3 linked regions of the Oryctolagus cuniculus genome follow. The protein of the gene in region 3 binds, or shares a complex with, the protein of the main gene of each other region. Links are inferred from orthologs where the notes say so. Each region holds a gene or a part of one and is shown on either strand. Other genes may lie near its edges.

Region 1 (4,139 bases), on a different chromosome or scaffold from region 3:
ATAATCCATGTATCTCTGAACTAGGTAAGAGGGTCACTCGAGCTTTGTAGACCATAAAGCTTCAAGCACAGTACATAATTCTGTATATTCAACAGTGCTTTAAAAAGAGTAAAAAGTAGTTCAATTTGCTTCAATCACTACAATATTTTATAAGAGTCTGGGTTTATAAATTAAATGTCTCCAGGATTATCGAACAAGCTTACAAGTCCAACTAGACAGTTCTTGTATTGTCGGATACATTGGAGTCTTGCTTACATTTCTAGTTTGTCATTTAAAAACATTCTTTTCCATAGTAATTACTATTCATAGGTGAGTTATATTTTTATTCCCTATGTATACGTACTCTACAGCATTTCCTTGCAAAGTGTCCTATCCTGGGCCACTTTAACAGAAAATAAAATCTGAAGTCAAACTCGCATTCAAATTCTGAGATGATGGTATTTTCAAGTAAAAACATAACCTTAATGTTTTAAATAAAATTAAAACTTCGTGAATTTCAGGAGACTGTTGAACCACTTTGCCCTGTTCTTGCTGGAGACTCCTCCCACGCGCCCCACTGCACCCCAGACCCGCAGTATGCGCTGGGGACAGGATCAGTGAAACTGATGAGGGTTAAGGGAGAACCGGGGCCACCGAGATGACTGTAGATCTGTTTGCAAACACTCAACTACATCAATTTTGTAGCTGCATCGTGGCATTACTGAACCCATATTCACCAACAACTAGGCAGTAGACAAGTGGTAGGTCGTTTATGAGAAACTAAAACACTATGTAGCCCAAAATAAATGTGGGGCTGTGCTGAATGCGGTAAAAGAGTTATTCTGCAGACATGTCCAAATTTCTCAACCTGAAACCACGGTTCTGCAGCATGCCTTCCCACCAGCGCCGCTGGATTCTGTAAGCGCAACTATTTCCAAGCGCTGAGAACGCACCAGGCTCTAAGCGCATCCAGCCAGGCGCTGCAATCAGCCGACCCAAACGCGGAAGGCGACCCCTAAGTCAGTGAGACCGTGTTAGGGCAGGACCTCAGAGCCCAGGCAGGGTCGCTCTCCAGAACGCCCCCCGTCCCCCGCGCTGATTTCTTAACATTTCCGACTAAAAGCCATCCAGCTTCCAAGGAATTCAGCACAACGGACCAGGGCCCCTAACGCACTGTAAAACTGATTCAATTTGGCAGAAAACAGTATTTTGACTCGTTCACAACGCTCTGCGACACGTCCCAGCCCTGTCCGTTCAGACTCGGCCCCAGGCGCGAGCAGGAAGGCCCGCCCCCCGCCCCTGATCCCGAAAGGCCGAGCGAGCGGCGCGCGCGCGCAGCGCTCTACGTCATATCCGGCGCCAGGCCGTCCGATTCCGGAAGTGGCTGCCCAGTTGTGGCGGCGCTCTCTGCGCGGGTGATAGGTGTCTGTTCTGCAGGAGAGCTGGGGTACACGGCATCATCATGGTCGAGGTAAAGTGATGGTCGGGCGCTCAGGAGGCGTTTGCCTCTGGAATGTTTTATTTGGCAGCGCGCTGGGGGGATGGAGCGTGCTGGGAGGCTGGAGAGGGAAGAGGCTGCCAGGGCAGCTGTGTGGCCAAGGCCAAGTGGTCTCTTCTTAGGGAGGTGCTTTGCGCAAAGGGTCTAGGGTGCATGGAAACCCGAGTCTGAAGCTCCGTCCGGCGGGGAGCCGTAGATGATTTCTGCAGTGCTTGTCTGACCCCCGGAATCCGGGCTCTGACCTCGGAGGCGGGGCTCCTGTTGATGTCCGACCCCTGGCCGGTTGTCGCTGCCGGCGTACATAGTGGCACTAATTCTGCCACCTAAAAGACTCTGGCGGTCAATTCACCTCGTGTTTCAGCCCACGCCAGGAAAGCCTGCCGTTCTTGATGCCTTACGTGTTTTTCCCACCTGGTTTGAACATTAGCAGGCCTTGCTCGTCTTACTGCGAACATTGCCTGACGCCATCCTCTCTGGTCCATATCCGCTGCAAGTCATCTTAATTCAGACGGACGTTATCTTTAGCCAGGAGCGACGCACTGGCTTCCAGCTGACTTTCTTCTTTTTTTGCCCTCCTATAAATTGTTCTATGCAAGACATAAGTTGGCCATGGTTTTCTGGCTTAAACCCCTCTCCTGTCCCTGTGACAATAGGACAAAACTCGAGACTGTTGGAATGGTCTAAAAAAGGCCTTTCCTAACTGGACTTTACCTGCCTTGGCAACCTCGGCTTACTCCGCATCCCACCCTGTCACCCAGCCTGCACCCCGGGCATTATTTCAGTCCTTGGTCACCTTTGCACTGGGCATGTGCCGCTGCCTGGGCTGCGCTTACCTGTGTTCCCTCCTGTCTGTTCGGACTTCGCTGCAGAGCGCTCTTTCGCCGTCATATCTGGTTCCTCCTGTGTTCTCTGCCTTGGCCTCTTGTCTTTATAGCGCTTACCCAAGTGTGGACTTGCTTTCCTAGTTTTGCTTGTCTTCTTCCTCCTGAGTACAAGGAGCGTGCTGCCTATCATTCTGTTGTCAGCTTTAGCACCGTGCTGACAGAGAGGTGGAGCGAGCCTAGTAGGTATTTCCTGAGTAAGGGGGTACTCTCACCTCACTCAGCTGCTCTAGCCGAGGCTCTGGCGATGAACTTGACCCCTTGTAGCTTGCTGCAGGAGTAGCTGTGGTGAGTGGTATGGAGCGTTCGACATTCTCACACACGTAAAGCGTCTGATGAGTTTGACTGTAATTCAGGTTACGCTGTGGGTAATTTATAGGTTAAGTGTGTAATTACACACACACACTCTCTCTCCCTTTCTCTAGGAAGTGCAGAAGCATTCTGTGCACACGCTTGTGTTCAGGTCCTTGAAGAGGACCCATGACATGTTTGTAGCTGACAATGGAAAACCTGTGCCTTTGGATGAAGAGAGGTAGGCATAGTTTTCTTTCATTTGCTAAAATTGTTAAAATTCTAATACTGGGAGAAGAGATCAGGGAAAGGGAGACCTTTAAACATTACTTAGTAATACTTGGTTTTACTCATGTAGTACTCAGGTAGTGCTCATGGACTGTCTCTTTAATGAAAGCTCTTTGGGCATAATTTTAACTGGTTTAACCTTTCTTTTTTTTTGGCCTTTATGGTAAAGAATCCCATTAATTAATTGCATTTTACAAATGTCCGGTAATTAGGAGAGTCCCGTTCAGGTATTTTATTTTATAATCAATCACTTTGTATGTGCTTTCAGCTTCCCGCTGCTCTCAGAGCCTTGCTGAGCTGAAATTGTACCTGGCCAGTACTTCTACTCCCATCTTTTCTCGTTAGTATGGTGAAGATTGTTGAGTGGGGGCATAGTTTTGGTTCTACATCTCCAGCTCCAGTCTGGGATTGCATTATGTGCAATGTTCCTTCTTTGTCCTTTGCCCTTCTTTTTAAAACTTAATTCCTGAAACAAATATTTCTATTTCATTTACAAGATGAGGTTTTCTTAAAAGTAATATAAGTGCATTTCTTTTTAAAAATACTGAACTAATTTAGTACTTTGATTAGTTCCAACTAACCTTTCTAGATACATCTGTTTAAGGTTACTGAGGTAATTTTTACTGTTTTTATATTTAGATATATGAAGGAAATAAGTGTAGGCCTTGAAAGAATTTTTAAGGGTATATTAGTTTCTATATATCTTTAAATCAGTTTGACCTTTGATAACTAATCATGAAATGTTTTATTTATTAAGTGACAAATTAAAATATTACTTGGATTTAATGCCTGCCATGTGATAAATTGTGAATTAAAGTAACTACATATGATGTGGAAATGCACTTGGAAATTTTAGGTTTTTTTGAAATATTGTTTAAAATCTTACTAGAAACTTATACGTCACTGGGCAAACTTAAATTATGTTTCCTAGCTATCTGTAAACACTTAAATTTGTGAGTGTATTTTACATATTTAAGGATACATTCTTATGTTTATAATTTTTAAATAGTCACAAACGAAAAATGGCAATCAAGCTTCGTAATGAGTATGGTCCTGTGTTGCATATGCCAACCTCGAAAGAAAATCTTAAAGAGAAAGGCCCCCAGAATGCAACGGATTCATATGGCCATAAACAGTATCCTGCCAATCAAGGTCAGTATGGTGTTATCAGCAATATTTGAGAAATATAAAAACAAATAAAA
Region 2 (4,097 bases), on a different chromosome or scaffold from region 3:
AAGAATCTTTAATTCATCTGAAAGGCAGAGCAACATAGAGAGGGGAATAGAGAGAAAAACGGAGAGAATAGAAAAAGAGAGAGAGAGAGATCTTCCATCCATGGGTTCACTCTCCAAATGCCCCCAACAGGCAGGCCTGCTTGAAGACAGATCCAAGAAGCCCGGAACTCCTTCTGGGTCTCCCACGTGGATGGCAGGGATCCAAATACTTAAACCATAACCTTCTCCCTCCCAAGGTACACATTAGCAGGAAATCAAACCAAAGCAGAGTAGCCAGGACTCCAACCAGGCACTCAGATATGAAATGTAGATGACCCAAGCGGCGTCTTAACAGCTGCACCACAATGCCCACCCCAGTGAAAAATTTTTGATCAAATAACTTTCCAGTTTGACAGCAACTGTGTAGCTACAATTGGTAAGTACTACTAATTTCTTAGCTCTTTTAAGAACTGTTCTCCCTTTATCTTCAATTAAATGAGTTACATCCTGGTTGGAAAGCTAAAGGCAGTGCCAAAAAAAAAAAAAAAAAAAAAGTCTTAAAAGTATACACGTTAAAAAATAAAGGTCAATTGTATTCCCTCAGAGTCTGTTTACAAAAGATCAGATATAATACTTCCATTGTTTCTTGCACTTTGTGACTCAGAACAAGTTACTTAATTCATTTCTGTCTTGTTTGCACACCTATAAAATAAAAATAATAATAGCAACCACCTCACAGGATTGACCTAATATTAATAATGGTAATTTCTGAATGCTGGTGCTAGTTTTATCCTTTGATTATTTGTATTTAAGCAAAGAGATTTTTCATTCATTTGGTATCAGGATTGTAATTGCTTGGAAGAAAATCACAGTTGTAGAACTTAACTACTTTTTATGTCGATTTCTTCCCCCTCGAAACCGAAATAATACTAGCTTCTTCACAGGGTTGTTGTGAGAATTAAATGAGGAAATTTATAAAACGATTTTCCTGGGGTTTAAGAATTTAGAGCTCCAAAAATGATAATTATGCAAATACGTGATTTGATCCTAAAGCGTTTAAGGATCGTACACTAATAGGGATGAATAGAAGTTAATAACCCTCAGTCTTTACTCCAGCCTTAAACGAGAAAACACGATGTGAAAACCCGAAAACCGCTTTAGGACAACTTCCAGGAACCAAACCTGCGGCTCACTTTCCCACTGAAGCCTTAACCTCCAGGCAAGTAGTGCCTCTGCTCATGCGCACTTACGCTTTCTAAACTGCCGCAGGCTCTGCAGCGCGCCAAAATACACCTACTTGTGCGCCTGCGCCATGACCTAGACTAGGCGCATGCGCAGGGAGGGACCGGCTGGATTGAAAGCTATGGCGTGGGTACCTTCTTCCGAGTCGGCGGTGGAAGAGTTGATGCCCCGGCTGTTGCCGGTGGAGCCTTGCGACTTGACGGAGGGTTTCGATCCCTCGGTACCCCCAAGGACGCCGCAGGAGTACCTGAGGCGGGTCCAGTGAGTGCTTTGGCCCCGTACGGGTGGGCTCATCGTTCCCCCTGCCGCTGGGCAGGGCCCGTGGTGCCAAAAAGTCCCGTCCCTGTTGTCCCAGTTTATGCTCCGCATCTCTGGGTTACATCCCAAGTGGCGAGTTTCCTTTTAACTTGATAACGGATACCGAGATGTGTGTTCTTGGATTTCTTTGCTTTCAATCCAGATAATGTCAGACATCCCGTGTTTAGTACCCCAGTTGGAATTCTGGATTTTTAATTTCCTAATGAACTGTGGAAGTGGATCGCTTGTTTTACTGCACGCGAACAAAGCGCGATAGTAATTAAATTTCTTGCATTTATTGCTTATTTGTAGGATCGAAGCAGCTCAATGTCCAGATGTTGTGGTAGCTCAGATTGACCCAAAGAAGTTGAAAAGGAAGCAGAGTGTGAATGTTTCTGTGAGTTTTATAATCTTATGGGGATTTCCCTGACACACACATTCTTATAATATCCGAGAGTGTCGACTGTGGTGTACGTGATAGCTGACTGCTTCCTCTGGAGTTAAGCATTGGCTTGCACGCTTTGCCTCTGCCGCCTCGCAAGAACCTTTTCGTGACCTGGAGTTTATATGAAGACTTGCTCATCTTACTTTAGGGACGTGACCCAATACCTAAGGAGCCTTTAAATAGGCTACTTGCACTTTTATTTTTAAGGAACCTTTTTCCAGTTACGTTTTCATAATTACTTCTCTGGTGTTTATTTAGTGTAGTTTGCATGTTCTGAATTTGGCTGGTTTTTGTTTTTCTAAGAATAGAAAGCTGATCTCTTAGGCTTTTCTAGTTATGTGCATTTCTACTTATGGACACTTTTATTTATTTATTCAGCAAGTAGGAAAAGTAAAGTTAGTTGTTTTTGTTGTGACTAGGTTGTGCCAGGCTCTGGGAATACAATACAGGAAGGGATAAAAGATGCCTACCCTGATAGAGCTTACATTCTTCTGAAGAAGTTGGAGTAAACAAACAAAAATTAAAATTATGTATTGTGAATATTGCAGTGAAGAAAATAAACATCTATGATAATAAAAGAGAGAGCCCAGGTGGGCATTGTGGTGCAGCAGGTTGAGCTACGGCTTGGGACACCCATATAATAGTGCTGGTTACTCTGCTTTTGATCCAGCTTCCCAATAATACACTTGGGAAGCAGCAGATCATGGCCCAAGTATTTGAGTTCCTGCCACCCACATGGGAGACCTGCATGGAGTTCCTAACTTTGACCCAGCCCCAGCTGTTGCCATCTTTTGAGAAATAAACCAGGAGCCAGTGCTGTGGAGCAAAGGGTTAGGCTACTGTCTGCAGTGCTGGCATCCTATATGGGCACCAGTTTGGGTCCCAGTTGCCCCACTGATGGTGCACCTGGGAGAACAGTAAAGGATGGCCCAGGCGCTGGGTCCCCTGTCTCCCATGTGGGAGCCTTGGAAGAAGCTCCTGTCTCTGGGCTTTGGCCAGCCGAGCCCTGGCTGTTGGGGCCATTTGGGGAGTGAACCAGCAGATGGAGGATCTCTCTATCTTCTCTGTCTCTGTTTATCCCTCTTTTTCTGTCACTCTGATTTTCAAGTAAATAAATAAACCTTGGGGAGGAGAGAAGGGAGAATTACTTTAGTTGGAATAGTCATGGAAAGTCTATCTAATTTAGATATATCTAAATTATATTTAACCGAAGACCAAATAAAGAATGGCATTTTAAATTTTTATACTGGTATATCCTTTTCTTTCTACATTCTAAGCAATTTCTTTATCTGATATTTAAAATTATGAACATTTTAAATATTAATTTGTTATTACTATTGTTAGAGAGGGAGGGAGTACTTCCATCTACTGGTTCACTCTCCAAGTGCCCAGGATTGGGCTGAAATGAAGTTGGGAGTACAATGCTGGTCTCCCACCTTGGAGGCCAGAATCCAATTATTTGAGCTATCCCCACTGTCTCCCAAGGTCTGCATTAGCAGGAAGCTTGAGTTTGGAGCCAGAGCAGGGAGTGAATCCCTGGCACACCAGTGTAAGACACAGGCATCTTAGCTGTGAGGCCTACCCACTCCTCATCAGACACTAATGGGTTCATATAATTCCTTTTCATAAGTTTTTTAGTTTGTGGAACATGTAGTATGTATCTTACTTTAAAAAAGTGACCCTAATGAGTTTTATTTCAGAACAGTCCTATGTGATCAATTATGGACTATATACTCTTTTGGTAAACAAAAGTAGACTTCTTTTAAAGTCATGTCTTCAAATTATTTGAGTTCATTTTGTCCATACCAAAACTCTTTATTCTGAATATTTTTGTTTCAGTTTTATTATTATAGAAATGTAGGCCTAGATTATATCTCCAGAGATCATGTCATTTAATTTCCTAGAAACTCCCAACTATAAACCATTCCAGATTTCTCTTATTAAATAAAATATAGTGATCTTTTTTCTTACATTTTAAACCAAGACATAAATAGTGCAGTGAAAGGCCTACTTTTGTGTAACTGCAAAATGTACTTTTTGTCTTAGATCTTAGTTATTCTTCATCTTAGTTTTACATGTACCTTACAAAGGCATGGATTCTAGTTATAACACTAACATTGAACCTAACGCCTGT
Region 3 (4,264 bases):
GCTGTCTTTACATATTTGATGTTCAAGTTGTCAAAATTGGGACATCCTTTTGAATGACCCCGTCACTCTGAGCATTTTTCCTACTTCTGCATAACAAGACACTCCAGGCTCATTTTGTGCAGGCTGGAATGTAGCCAATTTTCTAAAGTTGCTGAAAGGTGGCTTTATGAAGTAGAGAAAGCAGTTTTGGGGTTAAAATCCAGCTACGTGCCTCTGGGCAAGTTCTCTGCCAAGTCTGTTTTTCTCATCTCAGCTGTAACTTCAGATCACACTGTGTGATTTCTATAATAATTGGGAAAGAGCCGGACATAAAGTTAGGAACTAAAGATTATAGCAAAGTTAAAGATGCAGGGGTGTAACATCTGGCATAGCGCCTAAGACGCCCACATCCCAGATGGGAGTGTCTGGCTTGGAGTCCCCGCTGGGTTTCTGACCCAGCTTCCTGCTAATGCACCCTGGGAGGCAGCAGGTGATGGCTCAAGTAGTTTGGGTCCCTTCCACTCACTTGGGAGTTCCCAGCCCCCGGCTTCAGCCTGGCTTGTTGCGGGTGTTTGGGGAGTTGAGCCAGTAGGTCCAAGAGCGTGTACGCTCTCTGTCTCGCTCTCGCTCTCTCATAAAGAAAATTAAGAATTTTTTTTCTTAAAAGCTGAAGATCCACGACACGATGACTAACCAGAAAAAACCCAGTGCACTTTGGGGTAAATAATTCTAACAGCTATTCGGTCTACACCACACTGATGATCACCCTGACTTGCTGCTCATCATTTAAACCGACAACACGTAAGTCACAGCGAGCATCTCCTGAAAGCTCAAGTCCAAACGCATCTTCTGGGGGGTGTCCAGCAGCAGGCGGTCCTCCTCCAAGCGCCAGTTCTCCGAGATCTGCATTCAGCACCTCCCATCCGGGCTAGTCCAGCGTCGGTCGCGCGGAGAGGGGCTGGCGGCTGCGTCGCGGGCACCGATCAGCCCGTGCTGCCGCAGGTGCTCCCCAGGCCGGCGGGGCCGGGGGCCCGCGGGCAACGCCCCGGGGGAGGTCCTGGCTCCTAGTCTGCAAAGAATTCTGCCGCGGCCCCTCCGTTTCACCTCCCCGCCTCCAGGCCCGCTCCTCTCATTTCCTCTTAGAACGCTGAAACGGGTGCTACCGAATAGACAACCTTCAGGTCGAAGGGGGCTGTGGCAGAGGCGCCCCCAAATCGCGGTACCCGGGGACCTGAGAGCCCCGAACGCGTTCTCACCGTTGTAAACTAACAAAGCGACCCCCCATTAGCCAAGCTGCCGAGAAATCACGTGTGCGCCACAGGGTACGCGGCCTCTCACAGCCGGTTCTTCAAGGCAGGGGAGAAGACTAGTAACGCCGAACGCGTCTCTGGTTGCTGGGAGACACGGCTGCGCCATCTCCTCCAATCAGCACACGCCTCTTTTTGACCAATCATAGAAGGCGAAAGAGCGGTGGTGGGAGGTGAAAGGTCAAGCTGAGGTTTGGCGGCCATTTCTCTTGCAACTTCGGAGGTCTGGGCCTTGGGGGAAGCTGCTCCGAGCACGCGGGACGGGCTGTATCTGCGTCGGCGGCGTCTAATCCGCAACGTTAGCCCGAAGTCGTGATGGTAAGGAGAGGGAGGACTGCTGGAGTCGCGAGACGGAGAGGGCGGGAAGGCAACTTCGGGCTGGCTGAGCCTGGTGGCGGCTTCGCGCCTTTCCCATTCATCCGCGAGGCGCAGCGCACCGGGGCGCCAGTCTGCGGGTTCCGCGGACGCGCGCGAGTCCCTTCCTGGCTGGGACGACCCTCGCCTCCTGCTGCCTCTTCTTTCTGAGTCCAGGGAAGAAAGAGGTAGTCGGGGTGGATGTAGCAAACGCTGAAGCGGTTTGCGTTTCCCACTTCGTCGCACTCATGAAGCCGCTTTTATTCCGTCGGTGATGTTTCTCCAGCCCGCCTTGGCCCAGGCCCCGGAGCGTTCGTGTATTCGTTCTGACGCTTATTGAGCGCCGGCGACTTGGCCAGGTTGAGTCTTGGGCTCCAGGACTAGAGACTGAGAAGTGCCCATGCGGACCCTGCACCGGCCGAGCTGGGCGGGGTGTGAGAGACAGACGTCCGTCAGGCGCTGTTCACCGAAATGGGCACCGGCCTAGACGGGAGCGGGCGGGAGGCTGCGGCCCCGGGGCGCTGGGGCGCCTTCCGCGGCTGCCCCCGGAGGGGGGCTTTCACCCGAGCCCGGGTGACAGGAAATGGGGCTCCGGAACGATGAGGGAGGGACAGCTACACTCGTGGTGGGTGTTGGCCGAAAGCGGCCACCGCTTGCGAGAGCGCCAGGACCTGGGCAGCGTGTGGAGGGTCTACCCCGGCGCCCTCGGCAGCCGTCGGAGCTTTCTCATCAGGCCCGATGGGATGCGCTCTGGCACACGTCGTAGCGGCTGTGTGCTCGCTGCGCCCGAGAAGTGGGGAGCTGGGGGCCGTTAGGCGGTTATTGCGGGTGGAGCCCTCCTACTTTTCCCGCGATTTAGTAGCGGTGTCTGGGTTCTTCCTCGGGGTGAGGAGGTGAGCGCGGAGAGACTCGGTTCGCCGGCGATGCACCGGTCGGGTGAGGACCGAGCCCTGCCGAGCTTGGTCCTGCCCCGAGTGGGATGCTGACCGTACTGCTTGTTCTCGGGATGACGCGCGCAAGCGCACACATACACACGGTCATTCCAGATGGGAAGCCTCCCTGGCCTCCAGCGGTCCCCTTTCCCTCTGGAATAGACTTCACCCTTTAAAACGGAGGCATTGCTCCTACCAGGCAGCCCGTTCCTGTCTTTTTTCCTGAGTTGGTTGGGCCTTTCTGCATAGCATCGCTCTTACTGCTTTGCAATATAATTGTCTGTATGTCTGCAGCGCCACACCCCCACCCTGGCTTCTTAAGGACAGAGCCTCGTTACACGTTTGTTGTAGGGCTTTCATCTTTGTTTCCTTAGAGCTTGCGACACTGAGGACTGCAGGTGCCGCTTGTCTCCTAAGTGCAGCGTGAACACTTATTTTTTTGTGATGGGTTGAAGACGAAATGGGATAACTGGTTAAATTTCCCAGATGCTAGCCGGCGCCGTGGCTCACTAGGCTAATCCTCCACCTTGCGGCGCTGGCACACCGGGTTCTAGTCCCGGTTGGGGCGCCGGATTCTGTCCCGGTTGCCCCTCTTCCAGGCCAGCTCTCTGCTGTGGCCCGGGAGTGCAGTGGAGGATGGCCCAAGTGCTTGGGCCCTGCACCCCATGGGAGACCAGGAAAAGCACCTGGATCCTGGCTCCTGCCATCAGATCGGTGCGCCGGCTGCAGCGGCGGCCATTGGAGGGTGAACCAACGGCAAAGGAAGACCTTTCTCTCTCTGTCTCTCTCTCACTGTCCACTCTGCCTGTCAAAAAAAAAAAAAAAATTTCCCAGATGCTCTTCAACAAACAAAAGTGGAAATTAGGTAGTAGAGTGATAGGGAGTGAAGAGTTTGCTTCATTTGGATGTTACAAAATATTGATTGGTGGATTGGTAGAGGAGAGTGAGGAGTGGAAGCCAAGTTAAGGAAAAAAAAAAATCAATGGATTTTTTGTTTGTTTGTTTTGTGCAGAGTTTACCCCTCAATCCCAAACCTTTCCTCAATGGATTAACAGGGAAGCCCGTGATGGTGAAACTCAAGTGGGGAATGGAGTACAAGGGCTACCTGGTGTCTGTAGACGGCTATATGAACATGCAGGTAAGCTAGAGGTGAAAGGGTGGTGACACTGTGTTTCTTCTGTTCCACTTTATTCCTCCAAGGTTTCGTGTGACTAATAATTCATACAGTTGGCAAAGATAGAACAAAATTCAGGAATGAAGTCAAGGCCAGGGAGGATGTTACAACTGATAGACTAGGTACAAGACACGGGGTTAGGCCAGGATTCACAGACCTTACTCGTGGTGGGTAAAGTGAGGAGGACTCAGGCATTTGATTATTCATATAATAAGGGAAATACATGAGTTGCTTTCAAAAGCAAACCTTTTTCCAGCGCTTAAATCTGATATTTTTCAAGTGAAATTCTTGTCTCTTAATGAATGCTAAAGGCACAACATTAATGTAATCAACTAGAAGCATTTCTTCAGAGGGAAGACAGATTAGCTGAAAGAATTGATGAACTATGTTGGTTAAACTAGTTGTAAATGATTTTGCCAGTGAGGGGGGGGATTTGGTGTGAATTTTTTTATTGTGATAAAATATACATAAAAATTTGGCCACTTTAACCATTTTTAAAGATGTCACTCAGTAATAGT

Evidence for each region.
Region 1: SNRPF (region 3) and PLRG1 share a complex: the UniProt entries of both Homo sapiens proteins name them as parts of the minor spliceosome. The link is inferred for Oryctolagus cuniculus from reciprocal best matches to the Homo sapiens genes SNRPF and PLRG1.
Region 2: SNRPF (region 3) and GEMIN2 share a complex: the UniProt entries of both Homo sapiens proteins name them as parts of the SMN-Sm complex. The link is inferred for Oryctolagus cuniculus from reciprocal best matches to the Homo sapiens genes SNRPF and GEMIN2.

The regions. Positions count from the first base shown.
Region 1 is NC_091439.1:11,052,317-11,056,455, reverse strand, and holds the start of PLRG1 (pleiotropic regulator 1), read left to right. Parts: upstream 1-1,339; 5' UTR 1,340-1,441; coding exon 1,442-1,450; intron 1,451-2,783; coding exon 2,784-2,890; intron 2,891-3,205; exon of another isoform or gene 3,206-3,277; intron 3,278-3,946; coding exon 3,947-4,089; intron 4,090-4,139. UniProt on the Homo sapiens protein: Involved in pre-mRNA splicing as component of the spliceosome. Component of the PRP19-CDC5L complex that forms an integral part of the spliceosome and is required for activating pre-mRNA splicing.
Region 2 is NC_091443.1:36,529,034-36,533,130, reverse strand, and holds the start of GEMIN2 (gem-associated protein 2), read left to right. Parts: upstream 1-1,297; 5' UTR 1,298-1,309; coding exon 1,310-1,482; intron 1,483-1,830; coding exon 1,831-1,915; intron 1,916-4,097. UniProt on the Homo sapiens protein: The SMN complex catalyzes the assembly of small nuclear ribonucleoproteins (snRNPs), the building blocks of the spliceosome, and thereby plays an important role in the splicing of cellular pre-mRNAs.
Region 3 is NC_091442.1:98,723,661-98,727,924, forward strand, and holds the start of SNRPF (small nuclear ribonucleoprotein F), read left to right. Parts: upstream 1-1,464; 5' UTR 1,465-1,601; coding exon 1,602-1,604; intron 1,605-3,584; coding exon 3,585-3,710; intron 3,711-4,264. UniProt on the Homo sapiens protein: Plays a role in pre-mRNA splicing as a core component of the spliceosomal U1, U2, U4 and U5 small nuclear ribonucleoproteins (snRNPs), the building blocks of the spliceosome.